Linked DNA regions of Arabidopsis thaliana. The protein of the gene in region 1 interacts with the protein of each later gene in a pairwise test. Each region holds a gene or a part of one and is shown on either strand. Other genes may lie near its edges.

The links. Proteins that work in one complex are often made in the same cells at the same time.
Region 2: the proteins of APX5 (region 1) and AKR2B interact in a two-hybrid assay, tested with the Arabidopsis thaliana proteins (one study listed by BioGRID).

Annotation. Positions count from the first base shown.
Region 1 is NC_003075.7:17,025,619-17,033,231, forward strand, and holds APX5 (ascorbate peroxidase 5), read left to right. Parts: upstream 1-2,967; 5' UTR 2,968-3,032; coding exon 3,033-3,142; intron 3,143-3,225; coding exon 3,226-3,350; intron 3,351-3,453; coding exon 3,454-3,503; intron 3,504-3,604; coding exon 3,605-3,670; intron 3,671-3,752; coding exon 3,753-3,798; intron 3,799-3,877; coding exon 3,878-3,960; intron 3,961-4,046; coding exon 4,047-4,126; intron 4,127-4,213; coding exon 4,214-4,316; coding exon of another isoform or gene 4,317-4,325; exon of another isoform or gene 4,326-4,410; coding exon 4,411-4,587; 3' UTR 4,588-4,940; downstream 4,941-7,613. Other genes in the region: AT4G35980 (uncharacterized protein), read right to left, coding at 5,198-5,329, 5,415-5,528, 5,951-5,968; AT4G35985 (Senescence/dehydration-associated protein-like protein), read right to left, coding at 6,650-6,845, 6,926-7,010, 7,102-7,268, 7,346-7,613. UniProt on the Arabidopsis thaliana protein: Plays a key role in hydrogen peroxide removal.
Region 2 is NC_003071.7:7,552,366-7,558,564, forward strand, and holds AKR2B (ankyrin repeat-containing 2B), read left to right. Parts: upstream 1-3,220; 5' UTR 3,221-3,363; intron 3,364-3,486; 5' UTR 3,487-3,504; coding exon 3,505-3,544; intron 3,545-3,628; coding exon 3,629-3,771; intron 3,772-3,854; coding exon 3,855-4,067; intron 4,068-4,164; coding exon 4,165-4,313; intron 4,314-4,388; coding exon 4,389-4,545; intron 4,546-4,670; coding exon 4,671-4,763; intron 4,764-5,040; coding exon 5,041-5,180; intron 5,181-5,278; coding exon 5,279-5,378; 3' UTR 5,379-5,699; downstream 5,700-6,199. Other genes in the region: AP19 (associated protein 19), read left to right, coding at 757-759, 1,590-1,676, 1,766-1,857, 1,943-2,051, 2,151-2,186, 2,275-2,361, 2,451-2,522.

The sequences.
Region 1 (7,613 bases):
TGTGAAGCCAATTCCTCCGAAACTTCGACCATTATCTTTCAATTAACCATCTCAAAACCCTAGATATGTATAATGTGGAAACAAACCCCCCAAATAGAGAAAATCAGAAATGTGAAGAAGGAAGGAAGATGAATAAACAAAAGGGAACGTGAGGACGATGAATTGGAGGATGCGAGAGAGAGAGAGAACAACAACTAGAGAGAGAAAGAAAGAAGTAGAGAAGAAAGTGATGGCCGGAAATAATTGCCATTGAAGCGTTCGATTAATCTCAGCCATTCAACCTTCCGACTGTTTTGCAATCTTTTTACTTTTTTTACTTCTTCTGTTGTCTTTTAAATAATTACTATTTTACTTCTTCTTCTTTTTTCTGTTTGATTTTTTAGTGTATATTCAAATTAATTTATTTATCTTGTATACAAAAAAGTAAAATAAAGGAGTTGCACATAATGTATTTTGTCTTTGTTGTTTAAAATGCAAATAAGAAAAATTAACACTGGCTAAAATTATACGTGTTTTTAACTGTCTGTAAAATTTCTAGTACGATTTGTTTTACTATTCTAATTCATTTTTTTACTAGTTTTTCCGGATGCTCACCAAATGTGAAAAAATCTCTAAGTTATGATTCAATATTTATGAAACCAATCAGCCAATTGCGGTACAATAAAGTTGTAATGCACTAGTTCTTCCGCATACTCGCCAAATTTATGTTAAAATTTCAAGGATGTTTGATGATATTGAATGTGGTTAGTTGAATTTGCATGTTGGCTAGTGAGAATGTGGTGTATGGACCAAACCTGAACTTATTTGTATGTCAACAAAGTGTGGTAATATTTTCTGCCAAAAATTGCAATAATCTCAACTAACAAATATTTTACCGAGTATGTAAAATGTCAACATTGGTCATATTTGCCTTTCGTGAGGAAAGATGTCTATGCTAATGAACTTATTCGGGTCAACGTAACCTTCCTTGATAAGAAAACCTGCGACAGCGAGAACAAAAACGTTAAGAGTTGGGAATCTTTCACAAACCATGTAATTAATTTGTCGGAAAAAGTTAGCATTTGAAAATGTTCAAAGTAAAAGTTTTTATTTGATGTGTGTACGATGATACAATCACAGTTTTGATAAACCAGGATTCGTGGAGTTGGAATCAGTTTTATCAAATCAACATTCCAAAATTACTAACAAGTTTGAAAATATGCAATGACAAAAAATCATAAAAATCATAAATACACGAGCTACATATGGATGAATGAGAGAGTTAATCTATAAAATCCGACCAAATAACTCACCAAGTCTACGATTTATTATATGGCTTTTAACAGAGTAACGACTGAGAGAGACATATAAGAAGAGCATTGATGAAACTAACCCTGAACATCACGGCGAGTAGTCAACTGGAAGTCCAAGATGATACCCCGGCGCAACAAGCCCGCTATCACCGCCAAAGGTTGCCGTGGATCGTTTGTCGTGACTGTGACGGATCATTTATCTCTTCTCTCTCTCACCTGTAATTGTCAGAAACAGTTTAGATGGCAGAAATTTCTCAAAGATAAATTACACTATAATAACTCTCTTTAACATTATGACTACAATTCCCAAAATCAAGATGTTTCAGAAAATACACGGCTCAATTCGTCAAACAAAAAGGAGAAACATCAGATTCTTACCAAACCCTAAAGCAGAGTCTCAAAGCAGAGTTCTTGATTACGATGATAGTATATAATGAAATCACGGGGAAATTGGGTGAACGCTCTCTGTTTTTCTTTCTTTGCGTTGGTTGTAGTGAAGCTTGATGAGCCTTCCATTTCTAGCTATTTGCTTGGAGAGAAACCTGCAAGAACACTCGAAAAAGAAAACAGAGGAAGATGTGAGTTTAGACAAAGTGAAAATAGTATGATGCGTAAAACTGAAACTGACGAAACTTTAGTGAGAAGAATAGACCATGAAAGTGTTTCGATCAACAACATAAGTCGTAGAAAAGTAAGGAAACATCTAAGAATTCTTACCAATCTTAAAAGCAGAGTTCGGCTAGTGACTACGAGAAACCTTGGACGAACTTTGTTGAGAGGAATGAAACTTGCTCTCGATTAACTTTGGATGAACTTTGAGCTCTCTGACTCTCTCTCTCTTTGGTTTTTCAACTAGAAAAAAGACTTTTGCTTTCTGAAACTACGAGAATAGTAAGCGATTATACAGAAGAAGAAATGATTGTGGGAAGTAAGTGAGTGAGCACGAGCCACTTATATAGGCAGCTTCGGATTTCTTCTTTCAACGGCTACTTTTCTAACGTCTATATTTTCTTACCGTTGTAAATTTTGCGTCTCAAATAAGTTACCGTTTGTGCATGAGGTGACAATTGACTTGACAGGTTGACACCGAGATGAAAATTACACAACAACAAAAACTAGAAGCATTCATAATAAGCCCAATGGGCCAATAGAGACCCAACCAAAACCCCAAACCAACAAAAAATTAAGGACACTGTTCGTCATTAGTGGATAATTAATATTTTAGTGTAACACCTTCACAACGATCGTCTCTCAAGGTCAAATAGTAACTTAGTAAGTAGCCCTCTTGATACGAAGTAGGAACCAAAACGCTTGTCTTTATGGATTAGAATGTTTGTCATATCTTGTTCAAAACTAAAAATGTCTAAAAGTTATCTTGTTTTTATTTGTTATTACAATAACGAAATCATTTCAATCAAATTGATCTCAAACAACCAATGTAGTTTAGTGTTAGGTAGAATCTTCTTCCGAGATAGTTATGCCCCAGCTCTGCTTGCGACGGGATGGTAACTAAAACTTTTGAATAAACTATAGTTGCATAGATGAAAAATTGAATATATGCGAAGATTAGCAAAAGGGTTCTCCCATAACTATATTTAATACTTTGCTTTCTCCATATGACAAAACATTCTTCTCCCCTAAACTCTTCTTCAATCCTATTTATATATTCATCCTTCTGAGTCATTCTTCAATCTTATTCATCGGTCTGAGTTATTTTGCTTGCTCTTTGAAATTCTGACAATGGCAGTGAACGTTGATGCAGAGTACCTCAAAGAGATAGAGAAAACTCGTAGAGACCTTCGAGCTCTCATCTCTTCCAGAAACTGTGCTCCCATTATGCTCCGTCTTGCGTAAGATCTTTGCTCTCAGAATCATTCTCCGTTTTTCTTTCTTGTCTTGATGTTTCCAAATGCCAACTCTTCTGTGCATATAGATGGCATGATGCAGGAACCTATGATGCCAAGAAGAAAACCGGAGGTGCCAATGGATCTATCAGATTCAAGGAAGAGCTAAACCGTCCACACAACAAAGGTTTGGAGAAGGCAGTCGCCTTCTGCGGTGAGTTTTATGATTAAACCTTCTAATCCGTTACTACTACTCTTCAGGACCTGCAAGCGGTTGCTGTCTCCTTTGATGTCTAAATTTTGGTTTCTAATTTCAGAGGAAGTAAAGGCTAAGCATCCCAGAGTCTCTTACGCAGACCTTTATCAGGTAAATCAACATTGGTATACAGCATCTCGAAGCCATTAAACTCATAAATACTCTCTTCCCCCTTGATGGTTAGCGTGACAGATTCTTTCATTTCATTTCAGCTCGCTGGAGTTGTTGCAGTGGAGGTTACTGGCGGCCCTGCAATCCCATTTACACCAGGCCGTAAGGTAGTTACACTTACCGCTAAAGCGTATGCGTTAAATCATCGTTGCTAAGTGAGTTTACTAATGTTGAGAAATATGATACCAGGATGCTGATTCCGCGGACGATGGAGAACTTCCAAATCCAAATGAAGGTTACTCCTGCAGCTTGTAGCTCCTGCAACGGAATTCTATTTCACAAACTGACTAAGCCCTCCTTTTGGATTATTGCAGGTGCCTCACATTTAAGAACTCTCTTCTCTCGTATGGGTCTATTGGATAGAGACATTGTAGCTCTCTCTGGAGGTCACACTTTGGTACTTATTACTAACTATCCTTCAAAATATCCGCCAGTCACTAAACATGCTCCAATGAACCAACTTGGTTGCTACTTTGTATATAGGGACGTGCACATAAGGAGAGATCAGATTTTGAAGGTCCTTGGACACAGGACCCTCTCAAGTTTGATAACTCGTATTTCGTGTAAGCCAACGATAAAGTCACACAAGAGTTAAAGCGAGAGAGAGTGAGAGTTCTGAAACTTACATTTTTTGCTGATTGGTTTTTCAGAGAGCTTCTAAAAGGGGAGACTCCGGGATTGCTACAACTTAAAACCGACAAGGCTCTACTTGATGATCCCAAGTTCCACCCTTTTGTTAAGCTGTATGCAAAGGTAGATTAGATTTCACTACGATTATAAGAAACTTTTACTTTGGATGATTCTCTGGTTTCATCAACAACAAAAATGATTTTGATGTGTATGTCAGGACGAGGATATGTTCTTCAAAGCCTATGCAATTTCACACAAGAAACTCTCAGAACTAGGATTTAATCCGCCAAGAAGAATTCCTTCAGCAGTGACGCAGCAGACGCTTGGAATCGCTGTTGCTGCAGCTGTGGTGATCTTTACAATATGCTATGAAGCAAGCAGAAGAGGCAAGTGAGGAAGTTTCGCAGATGCAATAAGGGACGAGAGAAAAATGTTAATTGAATGTATGCAATAAATACAAAGATTCATGCAATGTTACCTCCATGCTCCTTTTCAAGCTTCAGTGCTTTGGACAAAATTATGGATGTTACATCGCAGTATGTGAACTCTCCTCAAAAACAATTACTACTGTTACCAAATTAAAGATACAGAGTCTAACTGAGAAACGAACTGTGGATGAGAAGACTAAATTTCTTTTGGAACAACCAGGAATATCAATAGCTGATTAGGTTGCTATAACCTTCCAACTTTTGATGACTCATGGTTTCCATAACGAACAATCTGACTCAAGAAACCATGTTCTGTGCTCGGGAATAACATAGAAATACACGATAAGTAAATACTCTATTCAAGAAATGGGAGATATATTTATCTCGAAGTAGCAGCATAGCATTTATTTTTTCAGAAACACACATCTGAGAATACAGCATTAATAACATTTGACACTATCATGGGCGAAATCAAAAGTTAAAACTTGATAAGTAGGTTCCTCGGCCACAGATACTTATCCTGTAATCCACTAGCATATATCTTATGAGACCCTGACAAGTGGAGAAAAACTAAAATCAAAGTGCCCTGAAACTATCCGTTTTATCTAGCCTGGCAGTACCGGAGCTTGATGATTCGCCAAGTGGATCAGGAGAAGCTGCTCTAGAAGAGTCTCTTCCTTTCAGAGAAGTTGGCATTCCAGAGATCTCCTATAAAAAAAGTAGCTAGAGTCATCATCCTAAAAGTGGTCATACTCAAATCACACTAGATGGCTGAAACAATTCAATAACTTACCTTCATCAAATGCAACCTCATGTCAGTAGGACGAGTATGGTTACCAATGCAGGCCATTGCAAACTTGGAATAACTAAACAACACATCAGCAGCAGCTTGCTTCTGCTCATCAACCTATAAGATATCATCAGCTCAACTCTTCAATAACAATTACACAACAAACTCCAAAAGTCATGAACTTTGGTTAAGAATCAGAAACAGAGAACAACGAAGCTACACAGGATTCCGATTTAAGATAAAAGCCAAAGGACTCATCTAAGACTAATCATGATTCTTATTGATCAAAAAGGAAGTGATACCATTCACTAATAATCCTAAAGCTCAGATTTTTATAAATTGGTTTTCCCCATTCCAGTAACATTGAAGAAACCATAATTTGAATACTTGTTCCTTTAAACAATGATTCAACATCTTGATTTCATGGCGCAGATTAAAAATGACACAGCTTTTACATCCGATTTGATCCCTAATAATCTGAATTTCAAAACATAGAAAAAATTCAATAAAGCTGAAGAATTAGAAATCAGAAGTCGCACCTCGTATTCTTCTGTCATTGTGGAGAAGCGTATTCCTCTGTTTGGCTCTCTTCTGGTCTTGTGTAGAAGACAGCTACCACAAAGTGACCTACTTTACCTAATTTGGATCTCAGCTTCGAATTCGAGAAACACCAAGCTCGCTGGTTCGAATTCTATTTTGTAGGACTATTCAGATACTACTAGGGTTTGATTGATAATTTCTCTTAAATTGTGGGGCTGAAAGTGAAATAAACACTATTTTACTTACTGTAAAACGCCGTGTATTTTATTCCGGTCGCATAAAAAAACGACAAAGCTTGTGACATCATCACACAATTACTTGTCCTATCATGTTTTTGATCAAAGGTTTTTCTTTTTGGTTTTAAGATTTGATTTTGTTCTTATTAAATCGGATCAGTCAGTATATACAAATACAGATGACTTATTGGAAAGGTTTGTTCAATTTTATTGGAAACTTGCGAGATCAGGGACAAATTATACTCACTTTATATGCTATTTAGCGGTTACCAATTCAAACACATTATCTAAAATTGTATAAATATTTGTATAAATCTCATGATTCTTGAAGAAGCAAAACACTTTTGCATCAACAACAACACAACACAACAAAATCTAATATTTTCAAACCTCTATGGTCTGTTTAATGCTTATGTACCAAGGCAATGATATTGATATACAAACAACACAACGTCCATTAGCCTACTTAGAACTTTTTTTCCCCTTCTTTCTCTCTTTAGCTGCCGTTTTAACTACGGTTTTAGCGAGTGATGATGGCTTCATGGCACTCTTGGGGTTAAGAGCTTGTCTAATCTTGAAAACAGTCCACGCCGTTCCAAAAGCATGCCCTGCTGCGCTAAGCCCTTCGTTTGTCGCTTGTGCTGTCTTTGCTCCATACCTACAAGTAACATCCAAACATTAACTATCTTTTTGGCATGGTATGAGCACATTCTCTTGTAAACTTTTTCAGTTACTTACTTGTGATCGACGATTTCAGTAGTTACATCTGAAGTTGTTTTCATAACGTGTCTTCCTGCTACTTCGACAGCATCACAAACCTTGTCTGTCACAAATGGGTAAACAAATCTTTATTAGTTTCAATCATCAGAAGCCTAATAAAGATAGATAAGAGATATACGATATAGTCAACTTACTGAATCCATCAAGTGTTGCAAGAACCATTTCTCCAGGAAGAAGCCCAAAGAGTTTCTGCCCAGCTTTGCTATTTATCACTGAACTCGAGAAGAATCCAGAAACTTTAACAACACCAGAGAGCACACCATTCGCCACTTTCTCTGTCATTTTTGTCATCTTCTTTACTCTGTTACATATATAACTCAAAACCTCGATAAAAAGTTTAAAACACAAATATCAAAGATAAGCAAATAAAGGTCGTACCTTTTGAGACGTTTCAAAGTTCCAGGACTAACTTGTCTCTCCTTCTCTGCTTTGGACAACTTCTTCTTCATGAAATCATTTCCCCACATGAGTCTATCCATTGTGAGATCCCCACACCATAAGATCCCTTTAATCAATTGACCAGAACCAGCAGCGATCAGTTTCGCTGCAACGCCACTGTAATCCTCAACATTCGGAGCCAGAGTCGTCCAATAAGCCGTACACTGCTTCTCCACCATCTTTTTCCTCTTTCCCTTCAGCTCCTCCG
Region 2 (6,199 bases), on another chromosome or scaffold:
GTAGTTTGACAAATGAAGCATTTGAGGCAATGAAGTCTCTCCTCATGGCATGTGTGTGTATGGGTCTTTGATGATATCTTAGAAAGTAAGCAGTAGAGACTGTGCAGAGAGCTAAACCAACAATCATTATTGATTTTAAACCAAAGAGAGTAAGAGTTTTATTATTATTGATTTCTGATTACTTCTCTTACAATTGAAGTAATGAATTTTATGTTACGACAAATTTGATCATTTATATAGACGTAAAAATGTAAATTATTATGCATGCATAGTGACGCTGAGGCTCATACAAGTTATAATTTACTCTCAATATTTTCAGGTTGCACATCAATTGTTGATATTTTGTTTCCTCCTTTGTTCTAACTTTTACAACAATAATATCTCATTTTGAAAAATTGCCTAAACCTTTTAATAAAAAGTTGTGATTTTGTTGCAATTTTTAATCTGTAAAAATGCAATCCGATTAAGTCGGACCGTCAGATCAGTCCTCATCTTGTTTGTTTAACGGTCCAGATTTAAAACACTACCCCAGTAAATACAAAACCAACTGAAGAAAAATAAATAAAAAGTAAATTTTTAAAGAGTCCGACCCGGGTCCCTCAAAAAAAAAAAACTCCGACCCGGGACAAGATCCGTATCCAACAAACTTATATGTGTATCGGACACAGAAGAATACTTTCCACGATCATCAGCTTCTGGAGATCTCTTCTGGGAATCGAGCTTCACTGTTAAAGATTTTCCTTCAATCGGCTAAAAATGGTAACAATCGCCACTCCCTTTGCTTTTGGGCTTCTCTGTTATCTGTTCGAATTTTGGATCTGCCTTCGATCTTGTACTATTGCATCGAGTATCTACGATTTGATTTGATGATGAAATTGAATCTAATCCTCCGGTATCCGTAGATTTCTGCTTGGATCTGTCCGGTTCTTTTCTCGCTTACGAATTGATCGATTATTTAGGAAGTGAAAGGATTAGTTTGTTTCGTGAAGCTTGAAATTGTTATGTTTCTGTTGCCCATTCGAATCTCTTGTGAGTTATTAAATCCAATTCATTGTTTTTGAACCACTATTGCTCTTGAAGTAATTAAGCTTCTTGGATTCAAATGTAATAGGGTCTAAGCTAGTTCATGTACCTCACATCTCTTTATTTGCCTCTGTTTCTGAATTGGCAAAATAAGCTCGTTGATCTCTCCATCTTTCCATATCTTTAAATGGTTTAAAAACTTTTCTTGAGATGCTTGTGGCTTGCGTTTAGGTGTATGATGGTAAATGATTCTCAAGTTCTGGTACTTGATCTCTCACAATTCCCTCTTTTGCTTGCCTTATGCAATTATGTGCATTTCAAATCTTTATGAGTTGCCAGAAATCGTGATATATACTACTGGTTTTGTCTGGTCTTGTTTTAATTCTCTTTATCTCGATGCTGTCTTTGTGATTCTAGAATTTTCTCATGCTTGATATGGGTGAGGAGACGTCAAAAACTAATTAATGTGTTATGTATTGCCATTCACAATGATAGAATAATGCTTTCTTGAAAAGAAAAAAAAAAACTTCTAAGGTGGCTGTTTTGGGTTATGTTTGTATTTTCAGATACATTTCGTGTTACTAGTCAGTCGACAAGGGAAAGTAAGGCTCACCAAGTGGTATTCGCCGTATACGCAGAAGGAAAGATCTAAGGTATGTACAGCTTAAGTGTTATTGAGTTAATGCCGCATTATGCTTTGCATGCCTATTTAATCTTACATTTGGAAAAATGATCTGGACAGGTCATACGTGAACTCAGTGGAGTGATTCTGAACCGAGGTCCCAAGCTCTGCAATTTTATTGAATGGAGAGGATACAAGGTTGTCTACAAAAGGTAATAGACATATTTTATATAAGTAGCATGTATTTGCTACTTTAAAAACAATGGTTATAAACATGATGGTTTTGTAATTTTGCAGATATGCAAGCTTGTACTTCTGCATGTGCATTGATGAGGCGGATAACGAGTTAGAGGTACTGGAGATAATTCATCACTACGTCGAGATTCTTGACCGCTACTTTGGCAGTGTGAGTAAACGCTTATCCAAAATATACTCCTACCACTCTATCATAACCTTACAAAACATCTAGATTTTGATTAAGAGCTGTTTATTCTATGATCTTCAGGTGTGTGAACTCGATTTGATTTTTAACTTCCACAAGGTATACATACTCAACTCTATCAATGATTCTCTACTCTCTGTATTTTACTTCAATATGACAATTTTCGAATCTGGTTGTTTTGTTCTAGGCGTATTATATACTCGATGAGCTGTTGATCGCCGGAGAACTTCAAGAGTCAAGCAAGAAAACAGTTGCAAGGATAATATCAGCCCAGGTATGGTTTCTTAATCCTAATGCCCACTGAGACAAAAACGATTAGTCCGTAAGGGTTGTGTAAATGATGTTGTGTTATAATATTTGAAGGATCAATTGGTGGAAGTTGCGAAAGAGGAGGCGAGTTCCATAAGTAATATAATTGCTCAGGCTACCAAGTAGTCCTTTTCTGAACTTTTCTTATGCAGCTGAAACAATCGTAAATGAGTTAATATTTTCCTTAAACTCTGAGATATTCTCTTCTGAATCACACTTTTGTTTGTCATGTCATGTGATTGTTTGATTGATTAGAAGAAAGAAGCATTCATCGTTTTGGGTTTAAAAGTAGTGATTGATCTGCGAAATCATAAATGGTATACTATTTTTTCACATATGTTACGTTTTAAAACGTGGAATGCTGAAATTTCATCAAGTTCATCATCTCGAAATTATAATTTGTCCGATTGATTGAATAGAATTGGTTTTTGAGCCTGAGGACTGATGCACCAAACAACATGCCAGTGTCTCGTTCTTTCTTCTTCAACGTGCCTAATTTTGTAATTCGGGCGACCTAACCTCATTTTGTGTAACCGTGATCCGCCATGAGAGGAGGTATCCGCTCGAAGAGTTATCCTTTCTCCTCACAAAAGCAACGCCAATGTCCCTTTTCTCACTTTGCCCTGTTTGCTCCTTAGTACTTGTTTCACCAAAATAATCTATAGGATTTCAAATACATGAAGAATGTTTGATGGTAACACCAAAAATAGTGGAGAAGAAACAGACACTTATGGGCTTGGGCTCAAGGACTCGAAACTTGTATACCCAAACTTAAACGTGACTGCGTCTTGTTCTTACCAATCCAATAATTTATAGTAATGATAATAATTCATCTTTCCATATATAATTTTTTTTAATTATTGAAATTAAAAATGAGGGAAAGAATATCCGTTTTCTTTGCCACAAAAACATTTTCATTTGGGGGTTTTCATAATTTTTGGTTCTTCAGCTCCTCAAGCTTCGATAGGTATCGATCGTCTTCACCATACTTTTGGATTTTTTCTGATCACGTTTCAATTCCAATCTGAGAGATCTTCCTTGATTCGATTTCTGAATATATCTCTGTAATTTTTTTTCTGGTTTTTTCTAGGGTTTTAGTAATTTTCCGATGGCTTCAAGCTCAGAGAAAACACCTCTTATTCCTTCAGGTATATATGTTAATCTCGATTTTAGTTTTAGAATCGATTTGGTTGTTGTTTCTTCGAGTAATATAGAGAAATTGTTTTCAACAGATGAGAAAAACGATACCAAGGAAGAGAGTAAGAGTACTACTAAACCAGAATCAGGCTCAGGAGCTCCACCTTCACCTTCACCGACTGATCCTGGGCTTGATTTCAATGCTTTTGATTTCTCCGGCATGGCTGGGATCCTCAATGTAAGTTCTCTTTTGTGGGTGTATGATCATTGAATAGTCAAAGGTTGGATTTTTTCTTGTGTTTGATTGGTTTGTTTATTCAGGATCCAAGTATCAAGGAATTGGCTGAGCAAATAGCTAAAGATCCTTCATTTAACCAGTTAGCTGAGCAGCTTCAGAGATCTGTGCCAACCGGATCTCATGAAGGAGGTCTACCTAACTTTGATCCACAACAGTATATGCAGACAATGCAGCAGGTTATGGAGAATCCTGAGTTTAGAACAATGGCTGAGCGTCTTGGTAACGCTTTGGTGCAGGTACCTTTAATACAAGCTCTTTCGGATCTTCTTGTTATTATTAGTTAGTCAATACTTGAGGTGTGATCATGACATTGAATCTCTGTTTGGTGTTTAGGATCCACAAATGTCTCCCTTTTTGGAGGCTCTTGGTAACCCTGCAGCATCAGAGCAGTTTGCAGAGCGTATGGCGCAAATGAAAGAAGATCCTGAATTGAAACCTATACTAGCTGAGATTGATGCTGGTGGTCCTTCTGCTATGATGAAGTAAGCATGCCATTATTTGCTATAAATTATTAGGTTTACTTGTGTTCATGGCTAATAGTTGATTACTGGTGTTAGGTACTGGAATGATAAAGATGTGTTGGCAAAGCTGGGTGAAGCAATGGGTATAGCTGTTGGAGCAGACCAGACTGTTGCAGCTGAACCTGAAGAGGCCGAAGAAGGGGAAGAGGAAGAGTCTATTGTTCACCAGACCGCTAGTCTTGGTGATGTCGAGGTAAACTGATTCATACACTGTTAGTCTCTCGTGTTTCTGACGGTCTATATTTTATACTTAAGTCGGAATCATTGATCGAGGTTAGCTCATAAACTCTCTGTGCATTGATTTCCTGAACCAACCAGGGTTTGAAAGCTGCCTTGGCATCTGGTGGGAACAAAGATGAAGAAGACTCTGAAGGAAGGACTGCTTTGCATTTTGCATGTGGATACGGCGAGGTATGTCAACGTCTCAACAAGCCTTAACAAAAAAAACTGTCGAAATGTCACTATCACAGAATCATGGAAGGCAGTATATACTACCAATATTTACTAGCATCATGCACTTGATGGATAAGCAGCTTCGGTTTCACTTAGTAGATTATTACACAATTATCTGTAGCATTCTTTACAAAGGAAATTGACAGTTGCCATTATTACATCTGCAATTAGAAGTTGTTATAAAAGCTTAATCCGAAGTTTGAACCCAGCTGACCTAGGTTGAGTTTGTATGTAGGTGAGATGTGCTCAGGTTCTTCTGGATGCTGGAGCAAATGCAAATGCGATTGACAAAAACAAGAACACACCATTGCACTATGCTGCTGGTTATGGAAGGAAAGAGTGTGTAAGCCTCCTCCTAGAGAATGGTGCTGCAGTGTAAGTTTGCAACAACAAGAACACAAATTCGATTTCCAAACAACTTAGTAATGGTTATATAAGACTCTTTTAAGTGTCGTTTCATTTTCTGTTTGCAGAACTCAGCAAAACATGGACAATAAAAATCCCATTGATGTGGCCAGGCTAAACAATCAGCTAGATGTGGTGAAACTACTTGAGAAGGACGCTTTCCTCTGAGCTGCTTTGACTCTTGAAGGATATGTTTCTTCTCTGTCATGTAATAGTGTCACAGAGTCTGATTGCAACCTTGTCTTCTGTGGGGGTTTTCATCATTAAATCTGGAAAAAAAAGATGGAGAAAATGGATGTTTATTATGGTTTTGTAATGAATTATTTTCTTCTTGAATTGGTTTTTTCTTTTGGCTCTTAAAGTCTTTTTTGTCCTTCTTTGTGTGCCACAGGGCTTTAGTGTTGCAATCACAAAGAAAAAACCCTTAAACTGTTATATTCGAGAAGGAATAGACTGTTTAATCAAATCGGTGATAAGATAATTTGGAGATTTTTAACATGCCAACCGTAAATTAGAATGAAGAGTAGAAAGCCCATAGAGGATAACGATACTAATAGATGAGATTTGTACATAAGTAATGTGCAGAATGGAAGTCGATAGAATGAAATGCAAAAGTGAACTCAAGAACAGCAAAGATGATAAAACTTGGACCTCAAATCATCTTTGGCTCTTTGCTGTTTCTTTTGTTTTCTCTCTTGAAAGTATTATTGAAAAAACAGTAAAAAAAAACTCAAAATTGAGGTTACTTCAATTTAACAATAGTAAAATCATCAACACAATTTTTTTTTTTAAAGACATCTTAATTTTCTAAAATGGATATACAAAATCATATCTTGCACCTCGGAATTTGGTCCACCTTAGACGTTTTTAGTGGCAAAAATTCCCGGATTTATGTGGATTCCAATATTAGTCTAGGTTTCGGCATAGAATTCTCCTGGTTAATTAAAAATATGTATACAATGTTATAATTTAATCAAACCAACAAAATA